Linked DNA regions of Sus scrofa. The protein of the gene in region 7 purifies or fractionates together with the protein of the main gene of each other region. This does not show direct contact. Links are inferred from orthologs where the notes say so. Each region holds a gene or a part of one and is shown on either strand. Other genes may lie near its edges. The genes, in order: MTMR3, PPP6R2, CALCOCO1, WDR62, PPP6C, PPP6R3 and AURKA.

Region 1 (3,775 bases), on a different chromosome or scaffold from region 7:
CAGGCTCGGGTCACTGCTGCGCCGGCTAGTGAGAGGCACTGTGTTGTCGCAGGCTGTGGTCAGATTGTCAAATGATCTAGTCTTTGGTAGCCTAAAGAAAGTTTGGGGGAAATGAGAATCTGAGGCTATCCAGAGGGAAGTGGGAGACAATACATTTCAACAGTCATTTCATAACTAGCTTCATCACAGCTACTCAAGGAGCCATGGCATATCTAGGGTGAGGCTTAGACTGCAGGAAGATGAAGCTCCAAGATGAGTCCTTCTATTCCTCTGGCACCACACCTACACTATACCCAACATATACAAATAAGCTAACAGCAAATGCTCTCTTAAAAAAAAAGACATTCTTGGAGTTCCCATCGTAGCGTAGCAGAAATGAATCCAACTAGAAACCATGAGGCTATGGGTTCGATCCCTGGCCTCCTTCAGTGGGTTAAGGATCCAGCACTGCCGTGAGCTGTGGTTGTGGTGTAGTCACAGATGCAGCTAGGATCTGACATTGCTGGGGCTGTGGTGTAGGCCGGCAGCTGTAGCTCTGATTAGACCCCTAGCCTGGGAACCTCTATATGCCACGGAGTGGCCCAAAAAAGCAAAATAAATAAATAAAATAATAATAAATAAAAAAACATTCTTCATGATACTGCTGTTTCTCAATTAGTGGCAAAGTAAAGTAGCAGTGCTGATTTTCTGCTATTACAATATTTTTAATTATTATTTATCAGACTGAATTCAATAAGCTAATTCATACGTTGCAAAGTCAAACTTTTTATCATCTGAAGTCATCTGCCTTTATAAGCCCAAGACAACAAATCACAGCAGAGAGGCAGCAACACAGAGCAATTGCTGAAATTCAAGCTAGAGAGTCACAAGGAACCCAGAGGAGGAGTTCCCTTGTGGCTCAGCAGTTTAAGGAGCTGGCAGCATTACTGCTATGGCTTGGGTTCAATCCCTAGCTCAGGAACTTCTGCATGCTGTATGTGCTGCAAAACAAACAGTAAACACCCAGAGAAACACCACTTGAGAAACTGCTTGGTGCATGCAGCAGAGCCATGTAGCAACAGGGCCCAATACTCTACAGAAAATGAGGTTTTTACAGCCTCATAGCCCAAAATCCTTACACTTTCCCTAAGAAAACTTCAAAGATCAATGAAATGTGTGCAGCTTGACAATGTCATGATCTCCAATCATCCCTGGGTATATATAGCGTAGCACAAGAATACAACCACAAAGGATCTGAGGTCTTGGCATCAGCCTCAGGGCTCACCGACTCAGGGGCGGATCCTCAGAGCTGGTGCCAGGGCCTGGGTATGGTGCACAGCTGTCGTCCACAGGGGTAGACGGGGATGGGCAGGGCAGGTACACCGCACTCCATAGCATCAGGTTACGCACATGGCACACAGGATACAGCACCTAAGGAAAGTGCAAGTGGGCAGGTTAAATGAGTTCCAACAAGTCTGTCAGAAACATCCAGAAATGAGGGTGAAGAATAAAGACCAAGTAGAAATGCCCAGCAGTCCTGTACAGTCTGAAGGGCATTAGTGACAGTGGGTGCAGATGCAGCTCTATCTCCCAAAAGGACCTATAGAGAACTAGGAATTGGGGTTGGTGGGATTTTTCATCTAAGAGCCCCTATGGCTGTGAAAATGTCAAAAAAAAATTTTTAATCCATTTTTCATTAGTCATTTCTAGGTCATCTTTACTGAATGACTGGCTTTTCTCAGTCTACTTTGTTGCTTTACGGCTCAAGTGAGTCATTCTGCTAGATGATGATTGTTCCCTGTTAAAAAAGCTTGGCTTCCAAAGACATGTCAAACCTGTTTTAAAGGATCATCTAACTTACTTATAAGAAAAGGAAGGAATTTTCCTTATGTATTGTTACTTCCCCACCAGGCAGAGAAGAGAGAGAAGCAGCTAGCTTCAATCTTTCCTTGAACTACCTAATTGTACTAAGACATTAATTAATAGTCTAGCAAAGCAATTTAACTCCTGATTAGCCTCCTTGTGACTTTAGAATTTCAGATGCATTCTCACTAAGGGAATGGTACCACGTACTAATGCACAGATTTAAGTGCTTCCTTTCCTCTGTTCCTTTGAGGAAAAAAGTCTTAAAGGGCCTGCCATTTCTCCATGTGACTAGAGAATCACACAGACGCACACACTAGTGTCACAAAGTTTTCTGTTTTCTGAGACAGAAGCTATAGAGGGCATTATTGTCTGCTGACACTGGAAGGGTGCTGGGGGCCTAATGGCAGCTCCTTCTGTGCTCTCAGGGGCATCCAGGGAACAACTTAAGTGCTTCCTCCTCTTGTGAACAGAACATGCTAAGAGTAAGTTAAGATCTGGCAGAGGTGCGTAAAAGACTAATATCTAGAGCGGCAAAGTAGAGATGGTATTAAATCTAACTGCCCTAAACAAAGAGTAGTCAGAAGCAAGGCAGAGCATCACCAGAAAGTATCAGCATCTTTCTTAGGCAGAGTGGTTGGGGGAAAAAAATGGAACCAACCCATCCAGAGACAATTAGAGGCCTTCAAGGAAAGTCACTTCTCAAAAAGGCTCCCGTATATCCTCATCCCCAAATTCATCCTGCTCATCAGAGAGAAAAGGCTAAAGGATACGTACGGCTTCTGACTGAGAGGAATACAGTAGGTTTTTGAAAGCCTTGTTGCCCGCCCGAAGCAGCGACCACACAGAACATGTCCGTTCCTGAGTATGCTTTTCTCCTCTCTCCTTGGCGTTGTTGCACAGGAATGTTCCAAAGAGGCAGGAATAGGTATGTTGCACCAGTTTCACCTGTGGGAGTCCAATGAGGCAAAATCAAGCAGTGGATACACATTTTCTGGGGAAGGTCAGCGTAGCTGAGCCACCTTCCCCAACATCCTTGATGTGTACTTCAGTTCATAACGGGTAAAGATGGGGCAACCAAGTAAGCCACCCAATCGCAGCCTCCTCACAACCCCAACCACTGTCACTCCTGAGTCAAGAAAGCAAAGACAGTGCTGTCGCCCCCATCCTCTTGGCCTCCTTGGCACAGTCTCTGAGGTCCTAATTAACAGCCACTCATATAAACTGGGCCCAGGAGCAGTTGTGCAACCCAAGTCTGAACTAAAAGCACATTTCTCAACAACTTTAATTCAATAAGTTGCTATTGAACATCTCACATACCCTAGACATTTCTATGGGTGCTGGATAGGCACCCACAGAATGAGAAGATAGCTCTACTGCCCTGGTGGAGCTTGCTCTAGTTGTGGGGGAGGGGTAACCAGGTCTATGAACAATAAGGCAGGGTAAGAGGGACAGAGCACACACAGGGTAGTGCGTAAGCCCTCACTAGTGGAATCTTTTGGAAATGAGAGCACAGGTCATACTGCACTTTCGGGACAGGGTGGGGGGCTGCTCCAGCCAGAGTCGACTGCAAGCATAATGGTCTTGAGGTGAGCACAGGCTAGCAATTTCTGAGGAACTGAGGAGGCCAGTGTACTGAGACTGAAGGACACGGTATGAGGTGGAGGATAGGAGGAAATGAGCCTAGATGGGTAACCTGAGAGCCATGCAGGCCACTTTAAGGACTGACTTTTATTCTGTGTGAAACAGAAAGTCATCAGAGGTTTCTTGACAGAGTAATGACACAGTCTGCATTATGTTTTATTTTTTTGTTGTCTTCTTTTTGGGCCACACCACCTGTGGCATATGGAGGTTCCCAGGCTAGGGGTCTAATTAAGACTACTTGCCAGCCTACACCACAGCCACAGCAATGAGGGATCTGAGCCTCATCTGC
Region 2 (3,775 bases), on a different chromosome or scaffold from region 7:
TGACATTTTGTGAAACACTAGTGGCAGATCACAGCCAGGAACTGACACTGAGAGAATCCACTGACTTATTTAGAGTTCTCCCCTTTTACTTGTAGTCTCGTGTATGTGTGTGTGTATTAAGGTCGGAACAGTTTATCACTTGTAGGGGTTTGTGTCTCCACTGTCACGTCCAAGCTATTGAATGGTTCCCAGAGGGCAGAGACCCTTTGTATTGCCCTTTATAGCTCCTCCCTCCTTCCTCCTTCCTCCCTCTCTCCCCCATCACCCGTCCCTAACCCCTGGCAACCACTAAGCTGTTTCCATTTCTGAAATTTTATGTTCAAGTGTTATTTAAATTAAATCATATAATGGGTGTTCCTGTTGCAGCTCCATGGGTTAAGAACCTGACACGTGGGAGTTCTTGTCGTGGCTCAGTGGTTAACAAATCCGACTTAGGAACCATGAGGTTGAGGGTTCAATCCCTGGCCTTGCTCAGTGGGTTAAGGATCTGGCATTGCCGTGAGCTGTGGTGTAGGTCACAGACTCAGCTCGGATCCCACGTGGCTGTGGCTCTGGCGTAGGCCAGCGGCTACAGCTCTGATTAAACCCCTATCCTGGGAACCTCCATATGCTGTGGGAGCGGCCCTAGAAAAGACAAAAAAAAAAAAAAAAAAAAAAAAAAGAATTTTTGCGTCTTTGGTTATCAGTGAGACTGGGTTATAATTTCCTTTTCTTAAAAGTGTCCATATCAGGTTTTGGAATTGAGGTTTTTTGTCCTTATTAGGGTATATGCTCTCATTTTATGTTCCCTGGAAGAGTCTTGTGTAAGATTGGGTGTTTCGGAATTCCCCTAGGGGAAACAAATCCCACTGGTAGCCAAGAAGTTGCGGGTTTGATCTCTAGCCTCCTCAGTGTGTGGAGGATCCAGTGTTGCCGTGAGCTGTGGTGTAGGTCGCGGACATGCCTCGGATCCTACATTGCTGTGGCTCTGGTGTAGGCCGGCAGCTGCAGCCCCGATTCGACCCCTAGCCTGGGAACCTCCATATGCTGCAGGTGCCGCCCTAAAGAGCCAAAAAAAAAAAAAGATTTTTTTTTTTTTTTTTTTTCCCTATAAATGTTTGGTAGAATTCACTAACCAGCCCATTAGAGCCTGGAGTTTTCTCTATGGGGAGGCTTTTAATCGTAGCTTTTGTTTCTTTGATGCTCTAGAACTCTTCAGATTTTCTCTTCTCATCAGTCCACTTAAGTGTGTTTTCATTTTCCCAAATTGACGTAGATGGGCGTATTGGCGTTTGCATCTGTAGGGTGTGTCGGGATGCCCGGAGCCATTCTGCTGGGTTTTCAGGCTTTCTCTCTGGCAGTTTCAGTCACTCTTCACCCAGAACCTGCTCTTCCCCGCTCTCCCTCTTCCTGCTGGGCCTCTCCTCACTCTTCCTCCCGCCACCCCCTTCGCCTCCAGCACGAGTTTGGTGGAGACCTTAGCTGGGTGGGCCTTCTGTGTGTCCCCACTGTCCCCGGCAGAGTTCTGGGTGTGCCTCCGCACAGTGGCCTGGACACACAGGCGTTTCATCTCTGTGGCCCACCTAAGCTCAGCGCCCAGCCCCGCCCGCGGCTGCACACCCAGCTCTCCACGCCTTGCTAGCTAGCACCAGTCACCAGCCAGCCGACCCTCCGCCTCTGCTGCAAAACCTCAGTCCTTTCCCTCCAGCCACCTGTGGGGCTGTCAGCCCTCCAGATTTGTGTCCCGTGTCCAGGGCTGTCAGCACAGACCCCACCCCTCACCCCCACCGCCCTGACTCAGCACAGTCTGCACCTGTCATGTGTGGGGTTTTTTTGTTTTTGTTTTTTGGTCTTTTTGTCTTTTTAGGGCCGCACCCATGGCACATAGAGGTTCCCAGGCTAGGGGTCTAATCGGAGCTGTAGCTGCCAGCTTACGCCACAGCCACGGCAACGCCGGATCCTTAACCCACTGAGTGAGGCCAGGAATCGGACCCACGTCCTCATGGATGCTAGTCAGGTTGTTTCCACTGTGCCACAACGGGAACTCCTGCACCTGTCATCTGTGCTGGAAAAGCTCGAGCCAGTGCGTTTGGAGTGGTCGCCGTGCACAGCAGCTTGGGCCATCCCACGTGGGTGTTCCACTCATGTTGTCACACAGCCTCAATGTGCAGCAAACCCCGCCAGCCCGGGTCCTCTTGTGCCCCCGCCGCCTGGTGGGCTCGCCTGTGTGTGGGTCTTGGCCTGTCCTGGGGTAACCTCTCTTACAGTTGGTCGTAGCTCTCCACGTTTCTGCTCGACATTGTTGAAAGCAGGCTTGCGCATGGCTGTTCTCGGGGCCACCTGCGCGCCTCTCAGGGCTTCTGGTTTCAGGTGATCGTGTTCCTGAGGAAGAAGGACAAGTTCATCAGCCTGGTGCTGAAGCACATCGGCACCTCGGCCCTCATGGACCTGCTGCTGCGCCTGGTTAGCTGCGTGGAGCCCGCTGGGCTCCGGCACGAGGTCCTGCAGGTGAGCCTGAGGCCCCGCCTCCCCAGAGCCCCTCTCCTCTGCGCGGGATCTCTGGCACTAGGAGGCTGCCTGGCACCCCAGCTTTCTCCACCTTCCTCCTGGGATGGGTCCTGGGTTCTTGCCAGGGCTCGTAGTCGAGGCCAGGGCTGGCGTCTCTGCCTTTTCTGCTGTCCTGCCTCACCTGTTTATGAGCAGAGAGCAGAAATAGGCTTCCTCACTTCTGCCCCACCCGTGGCGCCTCTGGGCTCAGTCAGGTGGCCACTCTGTGCCCAGTCGGGTGCCTGAGAGGAGGCACTTGCTGACGAGGATTTGCAGGCAGAGAAGTTGGAAAGCCCGGAGTCAGCCTGTTTGTCCTGAGCTGTGTGCCTGTGGCCGCCCTGGCAGTATTCTCAGCGAGAGGCACTGCCCGGGGCTCCCAAGGGCTTTCCCGGCAAAGAGGAGGGTTCTCAACCCAGAGAAGCCCAGAAATCAGGGCAGGACACGCTGTTCGCTGGGGGTTGGTAGGTTTTGTTTGTCATGCAATTTAAAATTAAGTAAGTACACCATTGGTCCTTCTTGCTGGTTTTCCTGCTCCTGGAATTAGGTGACAGTTGTCATCAAGGTGGCAGGTCTCACTCTTAGAGTCCTAAGTGGCCTCGTTAGGGAGCGCCTCCTACCGCGATGTTCTGGTAGAGGTCCGTCAGCACAGGCCTCAGCCTCCGGGCCTTGGCGGGAGCCTCCCCCGCCTCTGCGCCGAGCAGTTTTGGGGTAAGGAAGTGCCGGCCTGTCCAGGGAGCCCCTCCTGACCGGGACAGAGGCGAGGCCGGCCTGGGCGCGGGGCGGGGAGCCAGCAGAGGCGCCTGAACTGTCAGGACCCGTGGACGGGGACGCCCTCCCTGGTGACCTCGGGGCCTCTGCTCTGCTCTCTGGGTCTGGGTGGCCCTGCCTGCTGCTGAGGAATCGCTCTTGGAACCTGGCAGGTGGATTTCTGCGGCCCCGAGGGGCTCTCCTGGGTAGGTGTGAGCAGAGCCTTGGACCGGCGTCCTCTTCTCTTTCAGTGGCTCAACGAGGAGAAGGTCATCCAGCGGCTTGTGGAGCTGATCCATCCGAGCCAGGACGAAGACGTGAGTGACCAGCTCTGCTCGGGAGCCTGGCCGGCCGCCAGGGCCGTCGCGCCTCCCTCAGAGGCTGGCCAGCCGCGGAGCTACCTTCTTTCTTGAGCAAGCGCTCCTCCCAGACATTTTGCTCAGCAGTAGCATCCATGTAGATCTGCTCCAAAGAACAACTCAGACAGTTCCCTTCAGGGCTC
Region 3 (3,775 bases), on a different chromosome or scaffold from region 7:
TGATGGGTGGTGGGCAGGATTCAGTCGCCTACCAGGCCTCTCCTGACACCTACTCCTACCCTGGACTGATAACTTCGCAGCCCTGAAAGGTATCTGCAGAGTGGTGGGGATGGGACCTCGCAACGGGCACTTCATGGGCAGAACCCCCCCCACCCTTTTCTCATCTTGTCCCCTGTAGAACCAGCTGGATGAAAGCCAGCAAGAGAGGAATGACCTGATGCAGCTGAAGCTGCAGCTGGAGGGGCAGGTGACGGAGCTGAGGAGCCGAGTACAGGAGCTTGAGACGGCCCTGGCAACCGCCAGGCAGGAGCACGCGGAGCTTTCGGAGCAGTACAAGGTGGGGGTTGGGCCTTTGGAGGGAGGGGCCTGGATACACACTTGGGGTCCAAAATCTGAACCCAGGGGAGACGTTAGTGGGCTGTTAAGATGATTCTGACATCAAAGATACAGATTTGGGAGTTACTGTTGTGTCTCAGCAGAAACGCATGTGCCTAGTATCCATGAGGATGCAGGTTCGATCCCTGGCCTTGCTCAGTGGGTTAAGGATCCTGCATTGCCGTGAACTGTGGTGTAGGTCACAGATGCGGCTTGGATCTGGCATTGCTGTGACTGTGGTGTAGGCCATCAGCTACAGCTCTGATTTGACCCCTAGCCTGGGAACTTACATGTGCCGTGGGTGTGGCCCTAAAAAAACCGGAAAAAAAAAAAAAAACCTACAAGTTTAAGACGTCACAAATAGGCTTCAACTGGTTATGACAGGAGCTATGTCCCAAATTTGTAGTGAGACTCAAGTTCTTGGATCACAGGAATGCTGAGTTAGGATGGAGGTGGCCATAAGCACCAGGAAGGGAATGTTTCTTTTACAAGGAAGGTGACCAGGTAGGAAGTGGATAGTCGAACGCAGGAATCCTCCTCCGAAGCCTTTGCTCCACTCTTTGAGAGATGAGTCTCACCTTCTTCCTTCCTGGGGAACCTTAATTCCAGGGGCTTGCCCGGTCCCATGGCGAGCTCACGGAAGAGAGGGACATCCTGAGCCGGCAACAGGGAGACCACGTGGCCCGCATCCTGGAGCTGGAAGAGGACATCCAGACCATCAGTGAGAAAGTGCTGACGAAGGAGGTGGAGCTGGACAGGTGAGGGGACCTCCTCGAACCCCACTATTTCCCTTCCCTTCCTGTCACCCTGGATCCCCAGCCTCCCATTTCAGGCACGCAAAACCTGGTCTCTGGAGTTCCTGTCATTGCGCAGCGGAAACGAATCCAACTAGGAACCATGAGGTTGTAGGTTCGGTCCCTGGCCCCATTCAGTGGGTTAAGGATCTGGAGTTGCCGTGGGCTGTGGTGTAGGTCGCAGACGTGGCTTGGATCTGGCGTGACTGTGGCTGTGGCTGTGGCCGGCAGCTGTAGCTCCAATTAGACCCCTAGCCTGGGAACCTGCGTATGCCGTGGGTACGGCCCTAAAAAAGACAAAGAGACAAACAAACAAACAAAAAAAAACCAAACCTGCTTTCCATCTCACATGGTTTCTCCTTCCCTTCTCAGCCTCACTCACGGTATTCTACTTATTGGGGCTATCTTTTTCTGCCAAGCTCTCTTCCATATTTCCTAACCTGTTCTGTATTCCTTGAGAAGTACTCGTGGTTACTGTTTATTGTGCGGCAGATACTAAGCAGGAGCTGGGGTGGAGGACTGGAAGAAGAGAATGGACGGAATGGCCAAGGCAAGATAGGAGAGGATGAATTTCAGATTTTACCCCAGCAAAGCATGAGATTAGACTCTGTTCTCTCTATTAGGAAATGTTAGAACTGGTGATTCAGAAATGTTACGGGATCTCTGCCCTGAAAAAAGGTACAAATCATAGAATCTTAGCAATGGGAGGAATGTAAGGTATTTAAGAGGGTATGTGAGAGAAGATCACTACCTCAAAAGGTAGCCTCTTTCTTTCTTTCTTTTTTTTTTTTTTTTCTTTTTTATGGTTGTACCCATGGCCTGCGGAAGTTTCAGGGCCAGAGATCAAACCTGCATCGCAGCAGCGACCCAAGCTGCCGTGGTGACAACACCAGATCCTTAACCTGGTGTACCGCAGGTCAACTCCAGCAACCTCTTTTCAACGTCAGACAGCCATCATTTTTATTTCTCTTATAACGTAACTACCCTTCTATAACTTTCACTCACTGGTCCTGGTTTAGACCTTTGGAGCCACATGAAATAAATTTCTTCTGCCAGACAACTATTATTTCTACCAAATAGCACAAATATTGGCCACCTCTCATTCTAGTCCTTCAGATTTTTACATCAAATGACATAATTAAGTTTCTTTCATTCATTACTGGTATAGATTTGATGGGGTTTTTTTTATTTTATTTGTTTTTATCTTTATTTTGTTTTATTTTATTTTTTTGCCTTTTCTAGGGCTGCACCCACAGCATATGGAGATTCCCAGGCTAGGGGTGTAATCGGAGCTGTAGCTGCCGGCCTATGCCAGAGCCACGGCAATGCTGGATCCTTAACCCACCAAGCAAGGCCAGGTATCGAACCTGCAACCTCATGGTTCCTAGTCGGATTCGTTAACCACTGAGCCACGACGGGAACTCCTGATGTTTTTGTTTAAAAAAAAAAACTCTTGGAGTTCCCGTCGTGGCGCAGTGGTTAATGAATCCGACTAGGAACCATGAGGTTGCGGGTTCGGTCCCTGCCCTTGCTCAGTGGGTTAACGATCCGGCGTTGCCGTGAGCTGTGGTGTAGGTTGCAGACGCGGCTCGGATCCCGCGTTGCTGTGGCTCTGGCGTAGGCCGGTGGCTACAGCTCCGATTCAACTCCTAGCCTGGGAACCTCCATATGCCTTGGGAGCGGCCCAAGAAATAGCAACAACAACAACAAAAAGAAGACCAAAAAAAAAAAAAAAAAAAAAACAAAACTCTTTAAAGGCAAAGGCATGCTGTCCAAGACCAGGAGTAAAAGGAGGGTTGATCCCTGAGGCTTCTTCAGTCCAGGATATGTTAGTCTTGCCCTGGCGAGATACTAAATGTCTAGGTTCTAAATCACGAAATAGAAAAGTAGGGATCAAACCAAGCATCTGGAAAAGATCAGGGACTGTCTACACAAGGGGTCAACAAACTATGGCCCATGTGCCAAATCCAGCCTGCCACATAGTTGTTTTTTTTTTTTTAATGGCCGCACCCATGCATATGGAGGTTCCCAGGCTAGGGGTCAAATCAGAGCTGCAGCTGCCATCCTACACCACAGCCACAGCAATGCTAGATCTGACCTACCCCACAGCTCATGGCAATGTCAGGTCATTAACCCCCTGAGCAAGAACAGGCATCAAACCCACGTCCTCATGGATGCTAGTGGGATTCATTACCACTGAGCCAGGACAGGAACTCCTGGCCTGCCACATAGTTTTGTATAGCCCACAAAGGTAAGAATGGTTTAGAGAATTTTTTTTGTTTTTGGCCAGAGCATGCAGAAGTTCTCAGGATAGGGATCAAACCCAAGCCACAGCAGTAACCAGAGCCATAACAGTGAGAACACTGAGTCCTTAACCACTAGGCTACCAGAGAACTCCCTTGACAATTTTTAATGATTGTAAAACAAAAAAATAATATTTTGTGATATGAAAATCATATGACATTTAACTCCATTATTCATAAATAAAGTTTTATGGGGCCAGCCATGTTCATTCATTTACGTATTGTCTATGACTGCTTCCACACTCCAATGGCTTGCAGAACCTAAAATATTTACCATTAGGCCTTTTACAGAAAATATCTGCC
Region 4 (3,775 bases), on a different chromosome or scaffold from region 7:
TGAAGCCTAAACTCCTTGTCCAGAGGCCCCTAAGAAGGCTCCCACCTCGTCCTGGATGACACAGGCAGGGAGCAAGGCTGGAGAGGGACCCCAGGTCTCTCGGATTCTTCCCACACCCCGCTCTACTGACACTCAAGATGGAAACCACTTAAATGGCTCCGCTTGGGGCAGGGTTCAGTAAATAAAGGTAGAGCAATCAGGGCTGGCTCCCCGCATCCTTGGTCAGCCAGGCCTTAGTGGATACTGGCCAGGGTGTGATCTACGGATCAGGTGCCAAGGAGGACGCAAGTCTCAGGCGGCCTAGCAGGGGAGAAGACAGAGAGGGGGGCCTTGTGTGTGGCTGTGTGTGCGGCTTTCACCCGGGAGCCCCAGTTTCTTACCTTCAACAGGGACCCTTCATCTCCCTGGGAGCCCTTGTAGCACTTCTTCTGCTTCCCGTTCACGGTGTTGTAGACTCTAGGAAGGTGGGGGGCATAAGTGACTAACCTGGCCCTGCCCACTCACCCTCTCCTGTCCTCTGGATCCAGCCTTACCTGCTCCCTCCTTTCCCCTGGAAGTCCCCATTCCTCCTATCCCCCATCTAATGTCTGGGCTGAAACCCCATGCCGGGGAATGTGACCTCATCCCAGGCTGGGTCACAGAGGCTATGTACTGGGTGTCCCTTGAGTTCATGTCTGCCTCCCCGTCCATAGCAAGCTGAGGGCCTGGCATCCAGTTCGAATGAGCAAATGAAGGTGGTGGAGAAGCTCTCTGCACATGCTCATTCCTCCCCATCCTCCCGGGCTAAGCTCAGCCGTCCCTTCCAACAGGCCCTTTCCACAAGCTCCTGTTGTCCCAGCTCTGGTCACTCTGTGCTGTCACAGTCTGGGGAGGTTCTCTCTCTTCCACTCCACATGACTTTCCCACTGTCCCTTCTAGACAGCTGCTCAGGAAACAAGGGTGAGTGAATAAGTCTACGAGCCACATCAGCACCTCTCAGTCACCCCACACAGGCTCCTGAGAGCCAGGGGAACCCTCGGCTGACCTGGGTGAGCCCAGCTCCTAAGAAACACCCACACGGTCCCTCCACCCCACCCTGCTTCAGGGACCAGATAAGCAGGAGGAAAGCAAGCAGCCCATGAGAAGACAGGCCCAACTAGGCCCCTACAGGCCCCGCTCAGAAACCAGCCCAGGCCAAGCCAACTCAGAAGCCAGGACTGCCCTCACCTGACGTTGCGGTCCTGGCAGGCCACGGCCACATACTTCTGGGTAATGTCAATGTCCATGTCATACAGGGTGGTCTTCTCTGCCACGTGGTGGGTACGGACGAAGTGCAGTCCATCCGAGGCCTGGCAGGGCAGGCAGGGCCTTCAGAGGACGCCCCTGACAAGCCCCCTACCCCAAGGAGGCCACCCCACGCTACCTGCTGGGCACTGCGGAAGTAGATGCTCTTGTCGGCACCACAGCTGATCATCTGGATGTCTCTGCTGCCTGGAGGAAGGAGCAGTGTACTAGGCAGGGCTGGGCCACCGCTGGGCTGCAGATCCTAGCTAGGGAAACTACCGCAAGGGAACTCTGCTGGGGGTCAGAGGGGGCTTCGTGGAAGAGGTGAGGTGAGTGCTGGGGTTCGTGGAAGAGGTGCGGTGAGTGGTAGAGCCGTGTGTGTGTGTGGGGACACAGGGAGCAGTGGGCTGCAGGCCTCTGCAGAGCAACAGCAGGTAGGGAAGCAGAGGCCAGGACGCAGCAGGGGCACCATGTTTCATGTGGGATTTGGAGAGGTGACTTGGGTTGCAGCATGGAGGTGGGACTGAACAGAAGAGAGGAGACAGGCAGACCTCTGGGAGGCTCACACTATCAAGAACAATCAGAATATCCACACATTCCTCGGTCCAGGGCCTGCACTGCCTGCGCCTCCCCTTCCTGTCACCAGCCACTGCGTTGCACAAATGGGAACCCAGGGGCTCAGCGTCACACAGTCCTTGTCCCAGGGTGCAGCGTCAGGACCGGGCCAGGGCTGAACCCAGGCAAGCTCTGGTTAAACACTGCTCTGTAGCCAGGCTTCCTCTCTGAGCCTCAGCTTCCAGCCTGTTTAACGAGCCTCCTTCACCGTGGAGCGGCGTGAAGCTCTAGGGACAATGGTTGCCACCTGGTAAGCACTACTGGCGTGGCGTTGCTTTTATCCTTCTTTCTTTATAAAATAACAATAATCACAGCACAAATACCTCAGAGAGTTGTAGTGAGAATGAAAAGACAGAACACACTGCTCCTTCATGACAGGACTTTTGAAGAGCGTCCGGGCCTGACATGCAAGTTAAGGTGTTGCTCAGGCAGGAGTTAGCAGATCACGGAAGGGGGTGTGTGTTGGGGGCTGGAGGGAGGGGGACTGGGACCCAGGAGGGACCCAGAGAGGGCCTGCAAGTCACTGGTAATGTTTTGCTTCTTTACCCAGGGTGGTGAGTCCAAGTATTTAGCAATACTGGGACCAGGACCAATCAGAACAGTTGCTGGCTGTAAACAATGCGTGTCTGGCATGGTTCAAACCTACCAGCTATGACCCTTGATGTGGACACTCACTGAAGGAGTCTGTGAACTAGTAACAGGTTTTCTGTGTATTTTTGGATGTGTATTTCACTGACTCATTTTTTTAGCTAGGTAGCTCCAGACAGTTTCTGACTGGCTGGAGCCCAGTTTCTATGAACTATCAACGTTTTGAGGACAAGGCCCAGGCGAGCCAGCCCAGTCGGAGCAGGGTTCACAGGAGTTTGCTTTAGGATGCGCCTCCTCAGCCTGGCTGGGACTTTACCAGAGGCCCACACCTTCTGAAGGTGGCCTCAAGGACTGACTCTTGGGCCACCCTCTTGGGCAGTCATCACCTCTCTAGGATCTAGACCATTCTTTAAAGGTGAGGTCACTGCTGGCCAAACTTCCAGGTTTACTGAACAATTCTAACTACCCTGTGGAAAGAATGGTCTTTTAAGGATGTCTGAGAAGTCTGAGCAGATGAGCTTTTGTTAGATCCTCACTAAGACATTGCAAATATTGTTGACCCGTTTTGGCCCAGCTCCTGACCACCTTAGTTAGACAGAGGCAGGGCAGGAAGCGAGAAAACCAAGGCACATTAGTACATTCTTAGCCGCAAGATTATGTGAAGGAAACTCTTCATGGTTGAGAACTTGGAGTACACAGATGTATTCTCTCCATGAATGGAATCTTTTTTTTTTTTTTTTTTTTTTTTTTTTGGTTTTTAAGGCCACACTTGCAGCACATGGAGGTTCCCAGGCTAGGGGTCTAATCGAAGCTACAGCTGCCAGCCTACACCACAGCCACAGCAACACCAGATCCGAGCAGCATCTTCGACCCACACCACAGCTCATGGCAACACTGGATCCTTAACCCACTGAGCGAGGCCAAGGGTCAAACCTGCAACCTCATGGTTCCTGGTCGGATTCGTTTCTGCTGCGCCTCGACGGGAACTCCGGATTCTTCTTGAATACAGTTTTGAATATGTTCCTAGGTTCTAATCAGTTAAACCCCCATGAGGCCTACATGCTCTTCTCTTGGAATTCCTCATGGCCAGGGATCTCCACACTCAATCTTTCCAGTCTTGGAGGGATCCCTTCAATTGCTGGGTTGAGCACAGGCTTTGAAGGACAGCCTTATGCCAAATACCAGGCCTGCACCTACTGGCTGTGTCCCTGGCTGTAAAGGGGATAAGGAGGTGGGTAACTGCTGGGATGGGCAAGGACCATCACCCAGCACAGAATTTGCCTCCAGCCATGGCTGCTGTCACCCATTT
Region 5 (4,460 bases), on a different chromosome or scaffold from region 7:
AACTCATCCACCTCTCTCTCTCTCTCTTTTTTTTTTTTTTTTTTTTTTTTTGTCTTTTTGCCTTTTTCCAGGGCTGGCTCCCACGGCATGTGGAGGTTCCCAGGCTAGGAGTCTAATTGGAGCTATAGCTGCTGGCCTACACCACAGCCACAGCAACACAGGATCCGAGCCCCATCTGCAACCTACATCACAGCTCACGGCAATGCCGCATCTTTAACCCACTGAGCAAGGCCAGGGATTGAACCTGCAACATCATGTTCCTAGTTGGATTCGTTAACCACTGAGCCATGATGGGAACTCCTCATCCACCTCTTTATTGATTCTTAAATATGCATTGCTAGAACTCCCTTACTCGGCTTTTTTTTTTTTTTTCCCCAGCACCTACCACTTTCTAATATACTCTACGGTTATTTACTATAGTTATTATTTACTGTCTCCTTTACTAGAATATAGCTACAGTTAGAGGATAGGGATCTTTGTTTTGCCTGCTGAATACCCCAAGCATAACTGTACTTGGCATTTAGTTAAGTGTTCAATTAATAGCTGTTGAGTGGGAGTTCCTGTGTGGCTCAGCCTAGGGTAAGGAACTCAACTAGTATCCATGAGGATGCAGAATTGATCCCTGGCCTCGCTCAGTGGGTTAAGGATCTGGCATTGCCCTGAGCCCTGGTGTAGGTCGAAAATGTGGCTGGGATCCCAAGTGGCTGTGAGGTAGGCCGGCAGCTGCAGCTCTGATTTGACCCCTAGCCTGGCAACTTCCATATGCCAAAGGTGAGGCCCTAAAAAAAAAGAAAAAGAAAAAGAAAAAGAAAAAAAGCTGTTGAGTGAAGAAATGTTGAAAGTATACTAAGTGCCAGGCTCTGTTTTTGGTGCTGAGAGTACAACAACAACAAAAAACCTCTCAGCTCTCGTGGGACTGAAGTAGACTTAAACCAACCAGACCTATTCCAATCTTGGCTTCCCGACTATTCCCTATTGAGATCAGATTAAGAGTTACATAACCTCTCTGAGCCTTCCTTTCCTATCACTTGTTATGAGGATTACACGGAAAAACAGCATTTGTATAACGATTAGCATAAGAAGTGCTTAGTATTTGGTCCTTTTCTTTCCAGCCTGGAAAGTTGGTAACCTATCTGTCAAGGGTTCAGCCAAGGTTTTCACAGGGCCTTGGAAAGGTGCGAATAGGTTGCTACGATGGCCAGGCTTATCCAATTTTTAACTGAAGACATTCTGGTGAGAGAATGCTTAAGAAGGTCGGCGTGAGAAACTAGGGAATGGCTAGGTAGAGTCACCTACTTCGCTGTTTTGTACCGGAAAAGCCTCGCTGGGTTCCGCAGAGGTGAAAGTCCAGAGGAAGAAAAGAAAAAGAAGACTGTTTGGTACTTTGGAAAACTACAAATCCCAGCAACCCCCGCGGCAGACCACTAAGGGTCTCAGCCGGTCTTGCTCTATGCAAACTGGGGGCCTCTAAGGGCCCGCAACCTGGTTTTAGCCGGCGAGGGCGTGGGGCGTGCCAAGGCAGCGGGGAAAATCGGGTCAAACTTTACGCCGCTGCGCAGACGCCTCTCACAGGCCGGATGTGACGTAGGGAGGGTTCCGGCTTCGGCCTCCGCCGCTGCCGCAGCTAGTAAAGCCGCCGATATCGCCGCCGCTGTCGGGGCTTGTTATTTCTAAAATGGCGCCCCTGGACTTGGACAAGTATGTGGAGATAGCGCGTCTATGCAAGTACCTGCCCGAGAACGACCTGAAGGTGAGCCCGGCCGAGGCGGGAACGCTGCTTTCGGGGCTTGTCCCTTCCGGCAGTGGGGCGCCCGCCGGCCCGCCCTTCCTCTCTCCGCGGGACCCCCGGCGGGATCCTGTCCCGTCACGGTGGAAGGCCTAAAGCGGTGCAGAGGGACCCGGTCCGACTGGACGTCACGCGGGGAGAGGAGGGGAGCCCGAGTCTGCCGAATGCTGTCCCGGTTCCCTCCGCGGGGTTCCCGAGGGATGTGTCACGGCCTCTGCCCCAGAGTTGCCGCTCCTGGCCTTGGGGCTGCCCCAGGGCACCGAGCCCTAACAGCTTTGCTTGCAAGACCCCCTTTCCTTCAGCTCGACCCCCGGTCTTCCGGAGTCCGAGCCGGGCCCCCGCGGGGAGTGGCCTGGGTTCATTCCTCCAGGAGCGGGACGGGAACGCGGGGTGCCGGCGTCTGACAGGAGATGCCGCCGGCCGCCGGCACGCGGCCCCAGTGTGTTTCTTTCCCTGAGAAATGAGGGTGGGAAAGGGCTGATGGGGGTCCGAGCGGTTTGATGGTGATGCGAGAGGACGTCAAGTCGTCCCTCTTCCGGACCGCTCACTTCTCCCGGTTGCTTTTTAGGAGTGTTGGTCTTCTTTCGCTAATTACAATATGACCCTGTTTTCGAGTACACTGTTGAGCTAATTTATGTGCATAAAGTAGTGGGCTCTCGATAAATATACTTTTCTGTCCTTTAAGGTGTTTCCCCCAAGTCCCTTCTTAGCTCTTTTCGTTTTCTTGGTTTTTCAAAGGAGATGAGTCGTTCCTTGTACTGCCGAGTCCGGGTAACAATAAATGTGTGTTTGGGTAAAGAAATGAGTGGAAGAATAAAGAGAGATAAGTCTTTGGGATACTGCTTTTTAGACAGGTGTTGCAATGCGTTTGTTAAAACCAGTGCTCAAGCGTCTAGCAGTGTTTGAGCCATTAGTACTAGCGCATGTTTTATGTGTTAAGCTAACCTTGATTTGATGTGTGGAGCATGCACAAACTGTTGATACTTTTGAGTCCTTTTTATTCTTGAAGCTCTGGGTTTAACGTAATTTATTATTGTCCATTAACTTTTTTTCCCCTTAAGGAAGATATTACTGGTTTTTTCTTTTCCTCATAGATACTGGTCGGCTTCGTTATCACTGAGCCATAGCGGGAACTCCCTTGGATTTTCTTTCGACTTCTTAGTTTGATAAACATTAAGTTTCCTTCCCAACCTAAGAAAATATAGTTTTTAAACCATATCATTTCTCTTTGCAACACAGTTGGACTGCACTTAGTGTGTATCTGTTCTTCCCCCCCGCCCCCCCCCCCCCCCGGCCAACTACTAGAAAAAAAAGAGTTCTGATTTTTTTCTATGTAAGTGGAGGCTTCTCTTCTTTGTCTTGGAAATGTTTTTATCAGATTAATTTTCTTGTACTGCATCTCTTGTGTATTTAAAGAAATTTAATTTTATACCTCTTGGCATGAAGTACAAACTAAAATTAAGCCTGCCAAGAAAGTATTCCAGGAGCACTTTTTCTGAGGCGTTAAAGCCAAAGTAAAATATTCCATCAAAGGAACGAAATAAATAATTGGGGCCACTTAATGATCATCATGGAAAAAGATTTGTTCTGGTAGAAAAAGACAGAAATTTACCTGTGTTTTAAATTTAGTTGGAGGTACTAAATGAAATAAATGCGGGGAGTTCCTGTTGTGGCTCTGTGCAAACGAATCTTATTAGCATCCATGAGGACAAAGGTTCGATCCCTGGCCTCGCTCGGTGGGTTAAGGATCTGGTGTTGTCATGAGCTGTGGTGTAGGTTACAGATGTGGCTTGGACCTCACGTTGCTGTGGCTGTGGCATAGGCCAGTGGCTGCAGCTCCTGTTCGACCCTTAGCCTAGGGACCTCCATATGCTGCGGGTGCGGCTCTAAAAAAAGAAATGCGTAGGATGTTCCAGATCTAATCATGAAATCTCTATATTTAAATTGGAAGTGGTTAGATTGCTAGTCCTTGAACAAATCTACTTAACTGTTTTGAAGGAATAAGGATGATATGTGCAAGTGAGTGGACCAAAGCATAATCTTTCTTAAAAAAGACTTCATGTGATTCTCATCCACGGTAAATATCTCACAGTGTATCATAGAAGGTGTAGATTCCATTTGTGGCCAGTTGGAAGAATGAATGATAAAATGCAGGTTTATTGAATATTTAGACTTTAGAATTTTGGCAGAGGAGAGATTCTATGACTTGGAGATTGTCTGATCTCTCTGACAGTTCTCAAAGGTGCCGCGTAAGTAAAGAAGTTGCACACTGAGTTGGTGTTCATTTTTTTTTACTGAAGAACTGAAGATGGTTTCTGTGGTAGGAGTTTGGAGAATATTAGTGTCTATCTCATGTAATACAGGGAAAAATAACCACCTTTATGGATAATAGTTAATGTAATCTTTTGGAGACTCACTTTTATGTTTAGTTTGAGCCATCTCTGAGTTTTTCATATAAGGCCACCTGCTCTGCAAAGTCATACCTGTTTGAAGTGCCTTCGTAAAGCTTCAAAGAATCCTCCCTTGCTGTTTTCTGAGATTTGATGAACTACTATCTCACCTCCTTATTCAGCCTCTATCTGATCTTATAGATTCTTATATATGGTAGACGTGATCATTCCAGACTTAAAGTCTTCTAGTCTTGTCATTCACCTTATTGCCTGTCTTTTTGATC
Region 6 (3,775 bases), on a different chromosome or scaffold from region 7:
TAACTTCTAAAAGCTCGGGTAAATTTTTATGTGAAAGAGCCGTGCGGGTTGATACCGGCCTTGCTTCAAAACTGGCAGTGCTTCCTGTTACCCAGGAAGGCCTTTTTGACGCCGTTCTGGAGGCTGAAACCCAGCTCTGGAGGTTGGGCTCAACTCCATCACAAGCTCAGAGCTTAGCAGAGCCCGCGGGTTGCAGATGCCGAAAGCAGAGAGCCAGAGGGGAAAGGCAGACCCTCTGTCCTCTCACTCTGTCGCCTGCTCGCCGTCTTCCGGCGGAAGGCCTGGGCTGTTCTCTCTGCGACGTAGTTCAGAGCAGCCTGCGGCCGCTGGGGTCGTCCTACGTGCCAGGGGGCCGAGGGCGCAGAGCCGGAGGAGCTGCAGAGGCCTTCCAGGGACTGGGATGCTTCACGAGCACAAGGAGGGACTCGTCCCTTGGAAAGAAAAGCAGCTAGTGTGGGAGCCCAGAGGCCCACCGGCGGTTCGACACAGCTCGTGAGGAGGGGGAGATGGTGGGAGCGAAGCCGGAGGCCAGAACGAGAGTTTTATTCTGAGAGCTGTAATCCTCCTGCCGAGGATTTTACTGAAAATAACGTTATTTGATCTGTTTGAAGATGATCATGCTTGGCAGCAGTGTGAAAGCTGAATGAGAAAGCACACACTGGAGACAGGAAACCTGAATTAAGAGATTTACCGCTACGTGTTCGGAACGGTGAGGGCTGATCAGAACAGGAGCCGGGCGGCAGGGAGAAAGACAGGCCGGAGGCCTTGATCCTTTGGCTCGAGAGAGTGTGTGTGTGTATGTGTGTGTGTGTGTGTGTTCACAGGTATGGCTCAACACTGTTAAGTCTATTCACGTAGATCCTCTAGAACTTTTTCATCCTGGGAGCCCCAAGCTACACCCGTTCAACAACCCGTCCATGTCCCCCGCCCCAGCTCCTGGCCACCGCATGCTACCTTCTGTCTCTGAAATTGACTCCTGGAGTGTTTGTCTTTGCGTGACTGCTCCATTTCCGTAACATGACGCTCTCCGGGTTCATCCGTGTTGGGGCATGTGACACAATTGTATTCTTTTTTAAGGCTGAATAATATTCCAGAATCTGTGTCTCGGAGAGAGACACACACTTGAGTGTGACTCTCTGGGTGGGGGTGGGGGTGGGGCGAGATGGAGGGGGACGTTTGGATGAAGGTCACATTCACCCCGTCCCACTGGGGACAGCCCTGGGGGCTCCTCGCCCCAACTGCTCCCTGGAAGGGCTTCCTTTGTGCTGGCAGGTCTCCGGGAGTCGGGGTGGGGCTGGGGGCGGGGGGCCCTCCCCGGGGCTCTGAGCTGCCCTGTCCCCTGGCTCTGAGGGCCTCACACCCCGGCGGGGGAAGGATGTCGCTTCTTTGGGAGCTTCTCTGGACTGCTGAGGAGAGTTTCTGATTGGACTAGTTCTGGGAGCGCGTCTGGGAAAGACTGCCCCAGAGTGGTAGCAGCAGGAGAGTCTGTGTGCGGCCTGACTTAGGAAGGGGGACTTTGCGGATGGAATGAATGCAGAACTTTGCGAGTGGCGGGCAGGCAGAAACGCCTGTGAAGATTCCTGTCGGTTTGACTTTTCCGAGGTTGCAGGTGGGATTTTCAGGCACTGAGGTGGCGTCCTTCTGGATGTCAGCGGTCCTGCCACACGTATGCGGGTCCCTGGGCAGGAAGCACGAAACCAACCCTATTCAGTGCCTGCTGGGTTCCATCCCCGGCCTCGCTCAGTGGGTTAAGGATCCAGCGCTGCTGCGAACTGCACCGTTGGTTGTGGATGTGGCTCGGATCTGGCATGGCTGTGGTGTAGGCCGGCAGCTGTGGCTCCAGTTCAACTCCTAGCCTGGGAGCTTCCCTATGCTGCAGGTGAGGGCTTGAGAAGACAAAGAGCAGGCAAACAAAAACAAAAAGCAAAACAGTAGCAGCAGATGAATGGGCAGATTCCGAGAGGAACAGGACACGGTCCGGAAGGGTCTGGAGCACAAGAGCCCCTGTGTCCGCGGAGCTGGTGCCGTGCCGCCCTCTGTCTGCCAGCCCAGAGGAAGCCTTGCCCTTTGGGGTTTTATTGGAGCCTCATCAAGCAGGTGTGGTTGATCAAATCATTGATCATTCAGTTGATCAATCATTGATCACTTCCAGTCCCTCTACCCTTCTAGAAGGTGGAGGCGGGGAGCTGAGAGTTTCAACCTTCTCATCACCTGGCTTCCCCACACACCCACCCTCGGGCCCTCCAGGCCCCCCAGCCACCAGTCACCTCACTGGCATACCCGAACAGCTCGGCACGTCAGAGATTTCAAGGCTTGAGGGGGTGGGCGGGCAGGGGCCCACTAGGTGTTTCGTACTGTGTCGTAGGAATCCTTGCTCTCGCTTGTGCTCAAGGTTGTAGACTGCAGGGAGGCCGTCAGAAGCCGCAGTGTGACGGGCCCGGGTGTGGACTGGGAAGCACTGAGGTTGTTTCCAGCTGACTGCAGTTGAATAGGCAGTGTGCTTTTAAAAAAAATAAATTTTTTCTTTTGGAATAATTTTAGATTTACAGAAAAGTTACAAAGATTGTACAGGGAGTGGCTGTGTACCTTTCACCCGTTTTCCTCTCAGTGTTGATGTAACCTTGGTGCATTTGTCAAAATTAAGAAAGTAATATCAGGAGTTCCCATCGTGGCTCAGCGGAAACAAATCTGACTGGTATCCATGAGGACGCAGGTTCGATCTCTGGCCTCGTTCAGTAGGTTAAGGATCTGGCGTTGCTGTGAGCTGTGGTGTGGGTGGCAGATGTGACTCGAATCACGAGTTGCTGGGGCTGTGGTGTAGACCAGCAGTTACAGCTCCGATTCCACCCCTAGCCTGGGAACTTCCATGTGCTGCCGTGAGTGTGGCCCCCCCCAAAAAAAAAGAGAAAGAAATTAGCTTCAGCATATTCCTCTCTGTGTGGCTTTGAATTCTTGTGTGATAATTTCTATTGGGAAAAAAAAATCATAGGAAAGGGAATTGCTAAGGGCTCAAAGGAAACACAGTTTTATGACAGGATAGATGTTATCAAGTTGCTCTCCCAGTGACTAAGTGTTTTAGAATAAATACTCCTTGCCCCACAGCTGCGGGGGTGGGGGTGTTTTGTTTGTTTGTTTTATCACTGCACATCTGCTTTTGAAAAATAACTTGCATTCGATGAAACGACTGAAGTATTTATTCTCAAGGTGAAATTCCTCCCTCTCTAGCGCCCAGCTGGTCAGCCAACTTTGACGTCCCCATGGAGACCGCCCACGGTGCTGCCTTGGACTCCGTGGGGTCTGACGTCTGGAGCACAGAGGAGTCAGTGCCAACGAAGGAGACAGGCTGGGCCTCCTTTTCAGAGTTCACGTCCTCCCTGAGGTGAGCCTGGGTGCCGGCCCCCCAGACCTTCCTCCCCGAGAACCGGGGGTGCCATGTGTGCTCTCGATGCTGTTTGTCACCTTGATTTTCCTCCACGTGGACCAGGCGCCTCAGACAAGATGGACAGGCAGCACTCGGCGAAGAGGCTGTCTAGGAGAATGAGGCTCCCTCCTCCCCCCTTTCATCGAGGAGGGGCTGGGAGAGGAGGCCGACCACTCAGCTGTCAGGATGGCCTCTTCGGGGCTGTTCCGGTCCCAGCCCACTGTCAGAACAGGCCTGGGAACAGGGTGCAGGCAGGGACCTCCTGACAGGCACCTCTGCCTGGAGCATTGCAGAAAAATGCAGACTACAGCTTGGATTTAATAGCTACTCTGAACCTGTATTTCATGTGTAGCT
Region 7 (3,775 bases):
GCAGAACTGTAGAGACATACATGACTGTGTGAGTATTTTGAAGGTGTTAATAGAATTATTGCACTTGGTCTTCATGATAGAGCTTGGCTGTATTTTCCTCTGCTCTCAATGTCTGAACTGTCTAGACTCTGGAATGTCGTAGGAGCCAGGAATGAACCCACAGCCTTCTTTGCTCTCGATGCCTAATAGACTTCCCAGGAATCTATATCTGGTGGTTCTCGCCCCCCGACCCTGTGGGATCCATCCCGCTGGCTTGACGGGAGTGATGCTCTACCCCAGTGTTGGCGCCTCCTGGGCTAGAGGAGGCTGTGGTTAGTCTGATTGGGCTTGCAGGTGGTTTTTTTTTTTTTTTTTTTTTTTTTTTGGTCTTTTTGCCTTTTCTAGGGCCGCTCCTGTGGCATATGGAGGTTCCCAGGCTAGGGGTCGAATTGGAACTGTAGCCACCAGCCTACATCAGAGCCACAGCAACTCGGAATCCCAGCCGAGTCTGCAGCCTACACCACAGCTCACGGCAACGCCAGATCCTTAACCTGAGCAAGGCCAGGGATTGAGCCCGAAACATCATGGTTCCTAGTAGGCTTCGTTAACCACTGAACCATGACGGGAACTCCTCGCAGGTGGTTCTGAAGCAGTCTTCCCTTTCCAGTTACTCCTCTAATCCTTTTCATGGACTTAAGTGGTGTCAGTAATAGGTCCGTGCTCCAGAACTCAGGATGCCTTGAGACACTCCCAGGGAGCTTCAACTCTCAAAGTCCAGACTATTCTTGTCGCAGACTCGTGGGGGCGGGGTGGCGGTGCAGGGTTTGATGTCTGTGTGGACTCATTCATTGTGGTTATTGGCCTCTTGAAGAGGGTGCATACCGAATGCAACTTTGAATGTGAAATTATCTATAGAATAATATATATATTTTATAAATAATATAAATAATTTATAGAATGTGTGCTACTCACTCATACATTGTTAGAAAAGTGTTTTCTTCACATTTTAAAATGTTCAATTCTTTTCTAGAAGGCAATGGGCTTTGGAAGATTTTGAAATTGGCCGCCCGCTGGGTAAAGGAAAGTTTGGTAATGTTTATTTAGCAAGAGAAAAACAAAGCAAGTTTATCCTGGCTCTTAAAGTATTGTTTAAAACTCAGCTGGAGAAGGCAGGAGTTGAGCATCAGCTGAGAAGAGAAGTAGAAATACAGTCCCACCTTAGGTAAGTCTTGAGGTCGATGTCAGAAGAGGGATGGATGGAACTTGGTTATTTAACGAGCTCACTGTAATAACCTCCTTTGGAGAAGGCTGCCTTCCTAGCACTGCAGAGAGTGATTAAATTTGACACTCTTCAGAGGTTGATTTAGACTTAAGTGCTGTGGTCCTGGAACATTGCTTGAAGGTTTGTTTTGTTATTGGAGTAATTTACTGGACATGTTTTTTGGGGGTTTTTTTGATTTGGTGGATAATTAAAGGGAATGACACCTCTTTTTTTTTTTTTTTTTTTTTTTTTTTTTGAGTTCAGGTTTCAAACTGGCAGCCTGCAGGTTGACTTAAGCCAGTGGGTCTTTTCTTCTTTTTCGCTTTCAGTGAATTTTTTGGTAATGTCTCATATAGGCTGTGCTCAGCTGCCCAGAGTCCTTAGCAGCACACCTGCTTTTGTCAGACATGGCTTCTGTGTTGTCTGTCTCATTGTGTCCAGGGTATCAAACTACTGTGGGGATGCCATGTCTACCTTTTGTTTGTTTTGTTCTTTTTTTCCAAATTTGCAGAGACTTAATATTTACCTAGTTTTTTTCCCCCTAAGAGCAAAGATGGCCTAAAGGAAGGAAATAGTCTTAGCCAAACAAGGTCCATTGATACCGTGTGAAATGCGTGTGAACTGATAGGCGAGGTACACCTGTTTCTTACGGTGCGTCTCATCCGTAGTTTCAGACTCTCCAGGTGGGAGGGGAGGGTGTTTGTGGCCAAGAAGCAGTTGTCATGACTGGGTTCACAGGAGGGGTTTGTTTGCTATTCAGTACTTATTCTTGTATCAGCTCCCAAACCCGGTGTTAGAGAGTTCGTCCTTCTTGCAGGCATCCAAATATTCTCAGACTGTATGGTTATTTCCATGACGCTACCAGAGTTTACCTAATCCTGGAATACGCACCTCTCGGAGCTGTCTATAGAGAACTTCAGAAACTGTCAAAGTTTGATGAGCAGAGAACTGCTACTGTAAGTTTGCTTTTGTTGTCCAGACTAATTCTGTTGCGCTTCTGTCCCGCGTAGCCGTGTACCTTTCATTATAATAGAGGGGGTTTTGTCAAATGGAAAGGTAGCTTAATAGGATCAAGTATTTGAAATGGAAAAATCAAAAACAACATAGATGTGCCTTTATTTACAGATAAAATCAGTTACCAAGTGGAATATTTGGTTAGTTTCCACAGCTGTGTCTGTGGAAATGTATATAATTAGTTGCCCTCTTTAAAAAAAAAAAAGAAAAAAATTATTTTAGATTAATTTTAGATGTATAGAGTAATTAGAGATACTGCAGACTTTCTCCTATTAACACACACCTAATTTCTCCTATTAACATTTTACGTTAGCGTGATCCGGTTGCCATAACTAATGAACCTGTATTGGTGCATAGCTGTTAACTGGAATCCACACTTCTTTCAGATTTCCTTCATTCTTCTCATGGTTAGATCAGGGTCATGGGTTTTGAGAGGAAGGTCCGAGGGAAAAGGCCTTCTCCTCTGTCAAGAGTTACACTGTTAACCTGACCTAGCCCTGAGTGTTGGCCTCATCCCTGGCGGAGGGAGGGAGGGAGTGGCAACGCTCTCCACTGTGAAGTTACTCTTTTTTCCTCCCTGTCGTGCTGTGTCCTTTCAAAGGAACAGCCCTTGAGTGGTCATGTTCCATGTCCTATAAAGCAGAGCATGGTCATAATTATTGGGAATTTTGTACCAGAGATGTATCTGTTTTCCATTATTTACTCCATCATTTATTGCTATGGACTCATTTTATACTCTGTGTAATCTAATACACTTTGCTCTCGTTGTTTCAGCTTTGGCCACTGGGAGCTCTTTGACATGGTTCCCGTGTCCTTTTGACATGTCCCTGTCAGTGTGTGTGTGTTTAAAAGCACTTTCTTGTTTTCTGGTGCCGTAAGGTGTTCCAGCTCCATCTTATACGTTTCCTATCCCAGTCTTGTGATCGGTTATTTCTCCAGGGAGCTTTGGTTCCCTTTACTGGAAAAGGTAATGTTAGAAACCAAAATCTGGGCACTAGATGTGCTCGTGCTATTGCGTGTTAAAACGTCTCAGCTTTCAGCTGACAGAGAGCCAGGAAATAAGTGCGTATGGTAATCCATGTATCTGAAACTATTTCTGTATCCATCGGTATCTTGCTAAGCAACACATGAGTCCATTGTCACACGGATCCTGTGTCCTCCCCCCTCGTTTATCTGTAACCTTCCACTGTGACATTGAAAGAACTTGGATTCACGATCCGCTGTCCATTTATTCATTCAATTCCAGTGGACGTGTATATGGTGTATATGCTACTAGAATTGGTAACCAGTTACCCTGTGGAAAACCAGTTACCATATAACCACATATGTTACCATATAACATTTGAGATTCATTTGTAACTTTTCATAGCTCATTTCTTTCTTTCTTTTATCTTTTTAGGGCCACACCCATGGCATGTGGAGGTTCCCAGGCTAGGGTTCAAACCAGAGCCACACCTGCAGGCCTACGCCACAGCCACAGCAACGCCAGATCCAAGCTGTGTCTGTGACCTACACCGCAGC

What was found.
Region 1: the proteins of AURKA (region 7) and MTMR3 purify together in Homo sapiens (affinity purification with mass spectrometry; 3 studies listed by BioGRID and IntAct, counting the BioPlex papers as one, with this or other methods). This does not show direct contact. The link is inferred for Sus scrofa from reciprocal best matches to the Homo sapiens genes AURKA and MTMR3.
Region 2: the proteins of AURKA (region 7) and PPP6R2 purify together in Homo sapiens (affinity purification with mass spectrometry; 4 studies listed by BioGRID and IntAct, counting the BioPlex papers as one, with this or other methods). This does not show direct contact. The link is inferred for Sus scrofa from reciprocal best matches to the Homo sapiens genes AURKA and PPP6R2.
Region 3: the proteins of AURKA (region 7) and CALCOCO1 purify together in Homo sapiens (affinity purification with mass spectrometry; 3 studies listed by BioGRID and IntAct, counting the BioPlex papers as one, with this or other methods). This does not show direct contact. The link is inferred for Sus scrofa from reciprocal best matches to the Homo sapiens genes AURKA and CALCOCO1.
Region 4: the proteins of AURKA (region 7) and WDR62 purify together in Homo sapiens (affinity purification with mass spectrometry; 3 studies listed by BioGRID and IntAct, counting the BioPlex papers as one, with this or other methods). This does not show direct contact. The link is inferred for Sus scrofa from reciprocal best matches to the Homo sapiens genes AURKA and WDR62.
Region 5: the proteins of AURKA (region 7) and PPP6C purify together in Homo sapiens (affinity purification with mass spectrometry; 4 studies listed by BioGRID and IntAct, with this or other methods). This does not show direct contact. The link is inferred for Sus scrofa from reciprocal best matches to the Homo sapiens genes AURKA and PPP6C.
Region 6: the proteins of AURKA (region 7) and PPP6R3 purify together in Homo sapiens (affinity purification with mass spectrometry; 6 studies listed by BioGRID and IntAct, counting the BioPlex papers as one, with this or other methods). This does not show direct contact. The link is inferred for Sus scrofa from reciprocal best matches to the Homo sapiens genes AURKA and PPP6R3.

What each region holds. Positions count from the first base shown.
Region 1 is NC_010456.5:47,010,888-47,014,662, reverse strand, and holds part of MTMR3 (myotubularin-related protein 3), read right to left. Parts: intron 2,791-3,775; coding exon 2,620-2,790; intron 1,411-2,619; coding exon 1,265-1,410; intron 92-1,264; coding exon 1-91. UniProt on the Homo sapiens protein: Lipid phosphatase that specifically dephosphorylates the D-3 position of phosphatidylinositol 3-phosphate and phosphatidylinositol 3,5-bisphosphate, generating phosphatidylinositol and phosphatidylinositol 5-phosphate.
Region 2 is NC_010447.5:306,780-310,554, reverse strand, and holds part of PPP6R2 (serine/threonine-protein phosphatase 6 regulatory subunit 2), read left to right. Parts: intron 1-2,349; coding exon 2,350-2,487; intron 2,488-3,524; coding exon 3,525-3,590; intron 3,591-3,775. UniProt on the Homo sapiens protein: Regulatory subunit of protein phosphatase 6 (PP6). May function as a scaffolding PP6 subunit. Involved in the PP6-mediated dephosphorylation of NFKBIE opposing its degradation in response to TNF-alpha.
Region 3 is NC_010447.5:18,920,245-18,924,019, reverse strand, and holds part of CALCOCO1 (calcium-binding and coiled-coil domain-containing protein 1), read left to right. Parts: intron 1-178; coding exon 179-337; intron 338-984; coding exon 985-1,133; intron 1,134-3,775. UniProt on the Homo sapiens protein: Functions as a coactivator for aryl hydrocarbon and nuclear receptors (NR). Recruited to promoters through its contact with the N-terminal basic helix-loop-helix-Per-Arnt-Sim (PAS) domain of transcription factors or coactivators, such as NCOA2.
Region 4 is NC_010448.4:45,456,746-45,460,520, reverse strand, and holds part of WDR62 (WD repeat-containing protein 62), read right to left. Parts: intron 1,471-3,775; coding exon 1,403-1,470; intron 1,329-1,402; coding exon 1,207-1,328; intron 457-1,206; coding exon 381-456; intron 1-380. UniProt on the Homo sapiens protein: Required for cerebral cortical development. Plays a role in neuronal proliferation and migration.
Region 5 is NC_010443.5:265,895,264-265,899,723, reverse strand, and holds the start of PPP6C (serine/threonine-protein phosphatase 6 catalytic subunit), read left to right. Parts: upstream 1-1,577; 5' UTR 1,578-1,675; coding exon 1,676-1,750; intron 1,751-4,460.
Region 6 is NC_010444.4:4,408,249-4,412,023, reverse strand, and holds part of PPP6R3 (serine/threonine-protein phosphatase 6 regulatory subunit 3), read left to right. Parts: intron 1-3,225; coding exon 3,226-3,379; intron 3,380-3,775.
Region 7 is NC_010459.5:56,958,720-56,962,494, reverse strand, and holds part of AURKA (aurora kinase A), read left to right. Parts: intron 1-1,009; coding exon 1,010-1,201; intron 1,202-2,057; coding exon 2,058-2,196; intron 2,197-3,775. UniProt on the Homo sapiens protein: Mitotic serine/threonine kinase that contributes to the regulation of cell cycle progression.